Yarrowia lipolytica: one gene and its partner. The protein of the gene in region 1 binds, or shares a complex with, the protein of each later gene. Links are inferred from orthologs where the notes say so. Each region holds a gene or a part of one and is shown on either strand. Other genes may lie near its edges.

The links. The genes of interacting proteins can lie anywhere in the genome.
Region 2: the proteins of YALI1_D30618g (region 1) and YALI1_B13179g are in contact, whole or in part, in a cryo-EM structure (PDB 8OHS), measured with the Neurospora crassa proteins. The link is inferred for Yarrowia lipolytica from reciprocal best matches to the Saccharomyces cerevisiae genes LAT1 and PDX1. Residues at the interface, in XP_962786.1 of Neurospora crassa: Lys263, Lys266, Leu267, Gln269, Ala270, Pro453, Leu454; in XP_956161.2 of Neurospora crassa: Leu323, Gln326, Val327, Leu328, Lys332.

The regions. Positions count from the first base shown.
Region 1 is NC_090773.1:3,059,167-3,066,167, reverse strand, and holds YALI1_D30618g (uncharacterized protein), read right to left. Parts: upstream 4,379-7,001; coding exon 4,338-4,378; intron 3,355-4,337; coding exon 1,941-3,354; downstream 1-1,940. Other genes in the region: YALI1_D30653g (uncharacterized protein), read right to left, coding at 1-857; YALI1_D30593g (uncharacterized protein), read right to left, coding at 5,960-6,907. UniProt on the Saccharomyces cerevisiae protein: The pyruvate dehydrogenase complex catalyzes the overall conversion of pyruvate to acetyl-CoA and CO(2).
Region 2 is NC_090771.1:1,316,098-1,320,581, forward strand, and holds YALI1_B13179g (uncharacterized protein), read right to left. Parts: upstream 1,856-4,484; coding exon 560-1,855; downstream 1-559. Other genes in the region: YALI1_B13150g (uncharacterized protein), read left to right, coding at 1-192. UniProt on the Saccharomyces cerevisiae protein: Required for anchoring dihydrolipoamide dehydrogenase (E3) to the dihydrolipoamide transacetylase (E2) core of the pyruvate dehydrogenase complexes of eukaryotes. This specific binding is essential for a functional PDH complex.

The DNA of each region.
Region 1 (7,001 bases):
ACAATCTTGCCGGGTCCAATGGTAGCTGGGCCAGCAGTAAACACGCCGATTCGCACAAAGCCCTGGTTGAGAGCAGTTTCCGCAAACGACAGAGCCACGTTGATGGCAGTGCCTGTGCCTCGGGCAAATCGATCTCCCTCCTTGGGTCCAATCTTGTTGGCCTTGATCTGCTGCAGAGCGTCGACAATGGCGAAAGACTCTGTCTGGGGGATCAGAAACTGGTTGGTGATCTCCATGCGCCGGTTTCCCGGCACCCCTCCATTGTATCCAAACGCTTCTTCAATCTCCTTGGCTGCATAGCTCTTGGCTCCGTTGAACACGAGCGACCGGAGACAGTGGGGGTAGCCCAGCTGGTAGAACTGCACCGACGATCCGAACGACAAGAGACCCACAATGCAGTGTTCAGGGAGCTGATCAATGACCTGGGTCAGCGAATCTTTGAGCGATTCGAGTTCCTCGGGCTCGGCGTTGGTATCGAGCACAAACAGGAACGCCGGAGGAGTTGCTGCGGTGCGAGCAGTGTTGTACTCCACGGTCGAGTTGGCCGGATCACATGCAGGGGGAAGTTGACCCGCCACCGAGCTCATGAGCCGGTTTCGAGACATGCACAACCGGCAGGTCCACGTCTGGCTGGCCAGGTCCACATGACAGTAGGGATTGAGGATCGAACCACAATCCTTGTTGCCACAGATGGCAATGGTGTCTTGCACCACCGGCACCGTCTGGGCCTTGTGTCGAGGGTTGTACACGCACGAAATGGGCAGCACGACATCTTTGGCGTCACGTGACGTCGACGGGAACACGTTCCAGTTGAACCGCACGCCGTCCTGTTCCTCGAATTGTTCGAATAGTTCCATGGTGGTGACGTGTTGGCGTAATAGTTGTAGCTACTGTAGCCTCGAACCAAAGTTTATCATGGCGCACACTAGACACGGTGGACTTTGCATGAACGTGATTGGGGTGTGCGAAGATGGGCAGAGAAATCGGAAAAAAACACGTGAGTCAACAGAGTGATTTATAGACACTTTTAGCGGTTTTTTCCATTTTTCTAAATTGCAATTTCCTGCTTTGATGGACTTCCCCACACTAACATGACACCATACAAGCACACCTGCACCCAAAATATTTCGCGTGAACAGTGCATGTGAGATGGGAGGTGGTCTTGGAAGGGATGGTTCCACTTTGTAAAACACGAGAGAATGAATGTGGACATGTATTGGAGATCAGAATGACCGCACTGAGCTCCAGTATCGATTGGTGTGCTTGTCTTCCCGACAGAGTAACCACACCATCAGATGTAGCAGGAAATATGAGCTGACTCATGGAACCAAATTTTATGGCTGTTTACCACCAGTACATTATGTACACGTGAGTATACATGGTAATGTCTCAAATACAGATGTTGGTGGATTATTTGTAGCATGCCAATTATACCTGTAACTCCACATTGATGGAGCTTTCAACTGAACCGGCAAAGAGGATGATTGAGCGTGATTGGCGTGAAAACTGGCACGATTTCCCATGCTCTAGACGGTACTGTATGTCATTAAGAAGGTCCAATTACTTGAAGATTACTTGAAAGAAAGGTAACCTGGGAGTTAGAAAAGGTGCCCCAAGAAGGTCGGAAGAAAGAAAATACTGATAAAGTAAAGAGCAGAGAATTCTCATTCAATCCCATAAGCTTGAAAACACTTGGGCGACAGGAAATGTCCTTTTCTATGAGCTTTTAAAATTTTTATATTCTCAAAATGACTTGGATTTTGTTTTGACTTTAGACCTAACTATGAAACAACTCAAATCGAAGGCAATGGATTACAGGGCCGGGAATGTCGATATCAGTTTGCCAATACAGTCGTACTACTGACTGGTTTAAACGGTCACACTAGCGACTACTTCTCGCACAGAGTTCACATTCTGCTAATTACAATCTATTAATCATCCTACAACAACATCTCAATGGGGTTTTCAACCACCTGCTTGAGAGCCTTGACCCACTCGCCTCCAACAGCTCCATCGACGACTCGGTGGTCGAAAGAGGTGGTCAGAGTAACAACGTCGTCAAAGACAAAGCCGGCCTCGGAGTCAACGTCCTCAATGGCCTTTCGCTCGGTGGTGCCGACAGCGAGAATGGCGGCCTGGGGAGGGTTGATGATGGCAGTGAAGAAGGACACGGCGTGGTTCATGCCCAGGTTGGAAATGGTCACGGTACCGCCCTGGTACTCTTCGGGAGCCAGCTTGCCGTCCTTGGCCTTCTTGCCCAGAGCCTTAATCTCCTTGGAGATTTCCGCCAGACCCTTGAGGTTGGCGTTCTTGACCACAGGGGTGATCAGACCAGTGGGGGTGGCAACGGCGACAGAAACGTCCACGTTGGTGAACTGTCGAATAACACCCTCAGACTCGAGCCACTGGGAGTTGACCTGGGGGACCTTGGTGTTGGCCACGGCCAGGGCCTTGACAAGCAGATCGTTGATGGACAGCTTGTAGGTACCATCGGAGGAGGCGTTGAGAGCAGCTCGCAGCTTGAGCAGCTTGGACACAGACACGGTGGAAGACACAATGTAGTCGGGAGATGTGTTCTTGGACTGGGTCAGTCGAGAAGCAATTGTCTTTCGCATGTTGGTGAGAGGAATGTCGGTGTAAGCAGATCCAGCAGCAGCGGCAGCAGCAGGGGCAGCGCCCTTGGCAGGGGCAGCCTTGGCGGCGGGAGCGGCGGGAGGGGTCCAGTTCTCGACGTCTCGCTTGATGATTCGACCACCGGGACCGGAGCCCTTGATCTCGCTAAGCTTGATGCCCTTCTCCAGAGCAATGGTCTTGGCCATGGGAGAAGCAAAGATTCGAGAAGAGGGGGGAGTGGGGGCAGCAGGGGCAGAGGACTGAGAAGAGGGGGCGGGAGAAGCAGTCTCCTTGGAAGCCTCGGCCTCCTTCTCGGCCTTCTCGGCCTTCTCGGCCTCGTATTCCTCCTCTTCCTTCTGCTCCTCGGTCTTGGGAGGCTTGGGGACTCCTCCGGCGTCGTCAATGGTGAAGTCCTTGAAGGCAGCCACGTCGGCCTCGTCCTCGACGTAGACACCAATGGGGGTGCCAACGGCAATGTCCTTGGCTCCGGCGTCGAGCAGAATCTTGGCCAGGTAGCCATCATCCTGGAACTCAAAGTCCATCTGGGCCTTGTCAGTCTCAATCTCGACGAGAACCTCGCCGGGAGCAAGAGCGTCGCCGACAGACTTTTGCCAGGCGCCAATGTTACCCTGGGTCATGGTAGGGGACAGGGCGGGCATGTCGATGACTGTGTGGCTAGGCCAGGACTTGGCGGCGTAGCATCGGGTGAGGGTGGGGAGAGAGAAGGAAGAGAATGTTGGTCTGGGTTAGCGCTGGAGCGAAAGGATTGAGCAAACACAAACAAGTGACTGAACGTGCCGGTGGACCAGGTAGCCACCGGCGGATTCCAAAAGTGTACAACAGTGCTCTGTTTGAGGGAGCCACACAAATAGCAATTGCGTAACTGACTCGAGGCGACAACATCACTATCAACACGACCATTCCATGGACTTTGTACTTGTGTTGCCTTGAGCTGGGTTGCCTAACTGCTGTCCTCTGTAGGTGTGGGATGTGCAGGTGTGATACAACGAATTTTTGGGTGGGAAGCGACAATGTCGTTCACGGCGGATCTCAGAGGTGCAAGTGACGCTTTGATAGAGTAACCAGTGCGTGGGTAACTGTTGCTGGGTGTAGCTTGCAAATGATAAATGATTGTATGGTGGCAATAACAAAGAACACCACCGAGCTCGGCCATGGAATTTAGTTGTCAAACTCGACAATCGGACTTTGCGGTATACTTTCTTGAATCATCACGTTATTCCCCTCACCCGTTCCGGGTCAATTGCATCTGTGATCATTGTGGCTGTTGGAGTGTTGAGGCACCACCGGAGTTAAGCACAGCAATGAGAAAATGACATGGAGACACACCTATCAAAAGGAGTCATCGGGGGAACAGACAAGAGGATTCGTTGAAAGGCTCTTATCGTTGGCGTCTCCTCGTTTTTCACGCTTCTCCGATGATGATCGGTGCATGTCCGTACTACCAGTACTGGTGACGAGGCAAGGGCGAGTCCATGGAGCCCGCTCATCTGACCAGCCTGGTTTAGCAGTTGTGCGGACCATTCTATCACTGCCACGCCACTGTAAACACAAACACAATCACAAGCACCCTCCCACCACACCACACAAAACACACGACAGTCGGTTTCGCATCACCATTGCACTGGTCTTGGAGGACGTCAGCAACCCATTGTCGGGGTCCGCTCGCTACTCCATCCGTGCCTCTGGCTCTTCACCATACTCACCTCACTCGAACCAATCGAGTTGCAAGAAATCGGGCAGACATGTTTTCTCAAGAGTCGTTGCGTGGCGTTGCGTTGAAGTGAGAATCAGACGTGGGATAATCCGAGATGAGCGAAATAATGTTGGGTTCGCCGTAGCTCCTCCAAAGTCCCAACACACGGAGCACTCTCCGCACCGGAAAAAGTTTGCATATTTCGGATAAACTAGTGCAGCAACCGCGACGAGTGGACATAAATCTGCGACCGGCAGAAGAGATGAGTGGTCATCAGACCTTGGACGGGGTCAATTCCACTACAACCCGTCTTTTGGCATCCCTATTCGCCCCGCAGACCCGCCCAATGTCACCCCAGACAGCCTCCTAACAAAGCCCCCAAAGCCCACTAGCTCCAAACCTTAATTCCATGGTCGAGGATTTTTTTGACAAACCAAAAATTAACCACCTTTTTTTTTAAGCCTTCAGTGGGGGGTAGGTAGGAGTGGAAGTGGGAGTGGGGGGTTACCAGTAGACGTAGAACCGGCATGTTCCGAGAGAGAGAAAGAGCGAGTCACGTGCCGCACCAACTGTGGCCGGGGGCGTATTGGTTTAGTTCGTGTGACAAAACTCAACTACGGCTGAGTACAGTATGTACTCTGGTACCGCACATACATACAGTACATACGTCTACGTACAAGGAGAAAGTGCATGTTGAACAAAGCAGCTGACAAGTGGGTGGGTTGCAGGCAGGAGATGCTGGTATTATTGCGGTAGGCCGACACGGACCGATTTCGTTGCTGCTGATGTGAGGCAGTCGATTTGGGAGTGAAGCACTTTTGGTGAAGCGCCTCGGGGTTTGAAAGTAAGCGATTTGGGACAGTGATTTTGACCCAATCATAGCAAGACGTCCAGGATTGGTTGAGTGTTGGGCCGTTGACGTGGAGGGATGAGAGGATGGATGTGACCAAGTGAATCTGATACAAAACTGGGAGAGAACTGGGAGAGAACTGGAACATGTGCAGATTATGTGGGAAAGAGAACGGGAAGGTGGGGGATGTTATGGTCCATAGCGAGGCAGGGTGAGAAAGGGAATAAGAGGCGCAAAATTGGATGATATAGGTGGAAAAAGTACATTTCTGAAACCAGCAGAACCAGGACTATCCATTGCTACCGCCAAACATGCAATTGAATTCCATGATCCAGAGTATGTACTTGTAGATGCCATACACAGAGTGAAATCCAGTTGAAATTGCAGCACATTACAACCAGCAGTCAAAAGAGCATCCGGAACGACGAAATGACATTCCACAGAAATGAGAGTAGCCCCGATCTTTCTACTGTTGGTTTTTGCTGCGACCCATGTAGGGACAGTAGCAGCTACAATTGACAAACACATCTCCAGGTCATTTCACACACTACAATTACAGGCTTTCCTTTCTTCTTCTATGATGCCGGTACAGTATCTGATGATTGATTCTCGATAATTTATCGTCTTGAAAGATATGCAGCAGTTCACATTGTGTTCTTGGACGGCAGTCCAGTAATGCTGGTTGGTGAGACCTCAGAACGGGCCTCTTGCATTGAAGCGAGTACCCGTTCATGCCTTTGAGTCTGCTGGGTTCGGACAGTCTGCTTCGTTTCATCCGAACATTAAAAGACATCGCTTCCGACACTCATTCCATACCACTCACTACTCACCACCAGCTTACTCTTTGTCTTGTCTTTTGCAGCAGCTCGAAAGTACGCCTCTACGCTCTTTGAGTCTCTCTTGAGATCATCGGCCCAAACACATTCCACACCTCCCTTTTCTTCCTTCTCTACCAGATCCTTGGCTGTCTGCCAGGAGAACCGCACCACAGGCATCCATCCAAACACCTGGTCCACGTGACTCTTGAGCCAGACAGACGTTTTGGGGTCAGATGGGTACCCCGAGCCCCATGTGCCCTCACTGAGATCTTGCGACTTGAGATCCATGTCACGGGTCACTTTGGCACAAATGGAGGCCGCAGAAACAATGGGGAACAGCGAGTCGGCCTTCTTGGTGACAGTGAACTTGATGTGGGGGAACTGCTTGCTCAGCTTGGCCGTGTAACTGGCGGGGGGTCCCACTGTATCAATGTACGCCTCTGTCAGAAGAACACCTCGATCCAGCACACCCTGGATCAAAGCCATAGTTGTATCGTGTGCCTGGTCGTTCAGGTTGTACACACCACGAGACATGGGTCGCAACATGGCCGACGAAATGTCCTGAGCAGTCATAGACGTAGTGCACCACCCCAGATGCTCAACCAGAGTCTCATCACAGCAGATTTCGCGCATCAGAGCGCTTCGTTTTTCGGCCGTCAAAGTCTTGGAGTCGGCGAACCCCGTTTTCGATAGCTCCTCGTCGGCAAACTCCTTGGTACAGTAGGCAAGGCCGTAGACCATGGATCCCAGTACCGGTCCTCGTCCGGCTTCATCAACTCCAAGAATGCACGGTTTATGGGGGTCACGTGAAACACCATGAGGAACGTTACTGTAGTGCGTGTGAGTTGTGTGAGTTTTCTTTTGGGGCACAGAAGGCGGCATAAACTCTTCAAATGGCGTGTCGACAGTCATTGTGGTGGTGGTAGTGGTTAAATTGTTTACGCGTAATGGCGTTCTTTATTTTATTTAACGCGTCGGGAGTGCGTCAGAGAGGTGAGGGAGGAAC
Region 2 (4,484 bases), on another chromosome or scaffold:
TTCTATATCAACGAGTACAAGCGCGGCTTTGAGCGCGACTTCAACACCCTCAAGGCTAACACCGTCGGGCTTGTGGAGGACATTAAGGAGAAGCGAAAGGAGGACAAAAAGAAGGCGCTTGAAGAGCCCCAGACAAAGTTGACCTGGCAACAGAAGCATAAGCAGAAGTTGAAGAACAAGAAGAAGCAATAATCTTGTTGTGTATATAGTAACTGATTAACCGAAGAGCACGAGGGGAGCGAAGATCATGAGGCGTAGCAAATCATCCTTACCCAACGCACTTGTAGCACGAGCTAAGGGAATGCTCTGTAAAATTGAAAACGAATACCCTTACTACGAATGTATCATGTAAGAACAATACTACATACATACTGTACATATGTAGTTGACCTGAATTACTGAGTTACAGTCATACCATCAAGGAACGCTACAATAAGAGCACCCCTTAGCAAATGCTCTTCACCACCATTCACATGTTTACCCTACCTATATATATCCTTCGTTATACTGTATAGCACACTCTATGTGCTGTATCATCTTATGCTCGACATTGTCTCTCCTACTCCTCCACAGTCAAATGATACTCCAGTCTGTTCAAGAAAAGCTTGGCTCGCTTCTCGGCACCGGGGACCTTGTCGTTGACTGTTACATCGACCTGCACAGTGTTGGAAGGCACCTGGACAGCAGCCTTTCGGGGCTTTCGGTCCGACAGAATGTCATACAGGTCGGCCCCATTGGAGAGAGCCCGCTTTGTGGACTTGGGGTAGATGACGTTCACGTCGTAGAACTTGGTGCCCTTGGCGGGGCCGATGATAGCCTCAAAGTCGGGGTCCACGTTGGCGGATCGGCGGGGCTTTGCGAGCTCCACGGCGTCGTATTTGGCCAGCTTGATGGCCTGCTTGACGATTCGCTGCAGCTCGAGCTGGTCCTCGGGCTCAAAGTGGGCCACATCGAGGAACGAGGTGAAGATGACAGGCTCGGGAGCAGCCTTGGTAGCAGGAGCAGCAGCATCTCCAGCCTTGGCAGCCCCAGTGGGAGCAGCAGCATCGCTCTTCTTGGCGGGCTTGATGTTGGACAAGTCGAGATGGGATCGCTTGTTAATCTCGTCGGCAACAGCGCCAGGAGAGCCCTCAGGGACCTTTCCGAGGTAGGCGAGAATGTCGCCCTTGAGAAGCCGGCCGTGGGGACCGGTGGCCTTGATCTTGGCAAAGGCGTCCTCCTTGGAGATGCCATTGGCCACAAGAAGCGAGGACACCGAAGGGAGAAGGGTCTGTGCGGGGTTAGCGGGGGCAGAGTAGCCGGATGATGAGGGAGCAGAAGACGATTCGGTCTTGGGAGCCTCCTTGGGGGTAGAAGGAGCCTTAGGGGCAGGGGCCTTAGCCTCCTCCTTAGGGGCCTCCTTGACCTCCTCCTTGGCCTCCTCCTTGGGAGCAGGCTTGCCGTCCGACTCGACAGGAGCAGGAATATCAATGGTTTTGATGTCATCTCCGGGCTCAGCAATCACAGCAATGGTGTCTCCGACCTGAATGTCCTTGTCACCGTCCTTCTTGTAGATCTTGGCCATGACTCCATCGTCAGCAGCCTCGACGTCGATCTGGGCCTTGTCGGTTTCGATCTCAAGGATGACATCACCAGCTGAAAACTCGTCGCCCTCCTTGACCTTCCACGACACAATGCCTCCCTCGGTCATGGTGGGACTCATGGCTGGCATGGCAAAGTTGCTGGCCTGATAGAGGCGAGGGGTGGTGTGGAGCACTGGGTTAGTAAAATGACGGCTGTGGGTCCGATCGGACAACAACGGAACCAATACACGGAAACGACTAGCCGCAGCTAGGTCAGGAAAGGATAATAGCATGTGTAAACCTCACAGTTTAACACACAGCAAAGTCCCGGTTCAGCGTCTCAGATATGATTAAATGCCGAAATTCAAGAGCCAGAAGAAAAAACCGAAGAGAGCAGAGTAATGTCACTTGTACCACTCAATTGCAAGTATTTCACAAGAGGACAGAAGTGGAATGGGTGTAATTTGTTCCATATTAGTGGAAGTCATCAGGGGTGGATCAGAGATCAGATCGGAGAGTGACGACATCGAGAAACACGGAACCTGTGCAACGGTCGATATTCACTGGCACAAAATGTCAACCCTCAAATCACCCTCATAATAACACCATCTGTATCAACCATCATAGATGTCTCAATGTAGACTCAACCCGTCAGATATTGAATGTGGATACCCATAACCCCAAGAAGATGCACTTGCCGACAAGAGAATCAAAAATCACCACAACAAACCAAACCGATCAATCAACCTCATCTAACGCACTCCCTTTTCTCTTGTCCTCACCCATCTCCATTCTGCATTGCTGATCTCCTTCAGTGTCCAATATCTGCGTACTGTATGCAACGAATAGCAACAAATGGCAACAGTGTAGTAGAGAAACGAAAGCTGTTGGAAACGAGACGGCCTGCTCGCAATCACACGGCCACGTGAACCACAATCTACTCTGTATCTCCGTCTCCTCCTTCTGTGTCTCCTTCTTCGACTCCCGCCCAGCATCACACATGTCACTAATAATGCACTCAAGGGGAGCAATTGAACGGCAGTCACGATGTGGAAAACATCCATCTGTATGTGACTCGTCGCTGCCAGCAATACTCACGTCGGGCCCGGGGAATAACTCTCAACAGTCGGTTCATTGTGTGCCTCAAAGGTGTCGTTATTACGTTCGGACAACTGACGTTGGTCTCGACATTCTGTTGGGACGGAAAAACAACGCACCCTAACCCTCGACTAATTTTCCGGTCTAGCATCTTGTTGGGAGTGGGGGTCGAAAGAGATTTATTTGATGATTTATTATAAAAAAAATTAAAAAAATGAGACTTGAAGAATTGAAGAAATTAGCAAGCTGGACCACCGATCAAAGGAGAAGATCAAGTATGATAGAACAGACTTAACAAAGAAGCTGTGGACCAATGAGTAGCTACAAGGTTCTTCCACTGTTACTGGTGCATGCTGTGTGACATCTACATGCGTGTGACAACTGCTCAATATGAAAAAATAAAAATTTGAAAAGTTTTGAAAAAAAAAAAAAAAAAAAAAAAAAAAAAAAGAAAAACTTGCGGCAGAATAACGACGATTTTGCCGCTAAAGAGTTGCTTGGAAAGATCAGGCTTGTTGAATCAACTCACCAAATCGGCCTATGTAGCCTGGAATTGATTCACACTTGTGGGACTTCCCGACATACGTACTGGTAGTATGTCTATGTATAGCCCCTGAGAAACGACAGCGCTTGTCTCTGACACTTTTATTTCGAAAATTCGAGGTAAATGATACAAGAAACCAATTCGAAATCGCAAGCTGATTAAATGATACTATTATGTCTACCCTTGCTACTGCCGAATGCCTCAAGATGTGGACTTTGGGTCGGTCCTTAGTGTGAGCATCATATATAACACTATATTCACTGTTTATCGGACTAATACAAGCACTGGCAGTACAAACTGAGAATCATTGCCCAATTTTTCTCCTCAAGTATCCCTCCCATATCAATAACGAGGACTACAAGTATTCCTGATCTTCACTTCCCTATCCAACATTGCTGAAGTTTGACACTCCACTTGAGTGACCGCAAAAACTCATTGTAGTCCTGAATACTATTTAATACAACTTGATATCGTATTATCTACCAAATCGAGAACCCCCCATCTCAATGCGAGCTCCACAACAATCACACGAAGGACATCTACTTGTAGCTCAAATCGACACAAGCACAATTAACGACAACACTCTCTGTAGTACTCTATCCAGAAGTTCAGCTTTGGAATATACCATTATAATTAGAGCCAGGTCACCCAATTGTCTTACATTTCCTTTGGCATACCTTCCTACTGGATCCCTGAGGGCAGATTCTCGTATTGTCCAGTGTCCTACAAGATGATGGAAGGGCCATGAAGAACATTTTTCTCAAAGGGGAACTCGAAAAACTTCTGGAATCGAATATGATTGGATCCCTCGAGATGACTACTTTTCCCCTGCCTTTATTCTACGAGTTTGACAAGAAAGTGAGAGTGACTGCCAGCCTTCCAAACAAAGGAAGCGTATATTGGAACCCGGTGGCTAATACGAACATTGTGGCTTCACCAAAACGAATTATGATAGACAGTTATTGAAGGCTGTGATCTTTTATTCCATATTTGACACTCTGCTTGTACTTGTACTTGTTCAAGTTGCTTCCCCAAGTTAAGAGTGCTACTTTAGGATCATATACCCTTCTCAGAGTTGAAAAACTCCGCGGAATTCTTCAGGGGGGAGATTTTAACCGTATAGACATTGAAATGCGGGTATTTGTACTTGTTTTATTGTGCCAGATTTGGCCTTTTTCTAGTACAAGTACTTGTACTCGCACAAGAGATCTGATACTCCGCTTACCTTTCAAGTACACACTCACGGATCTCCGAAAATACTGTCTCAATTACACCTGCAA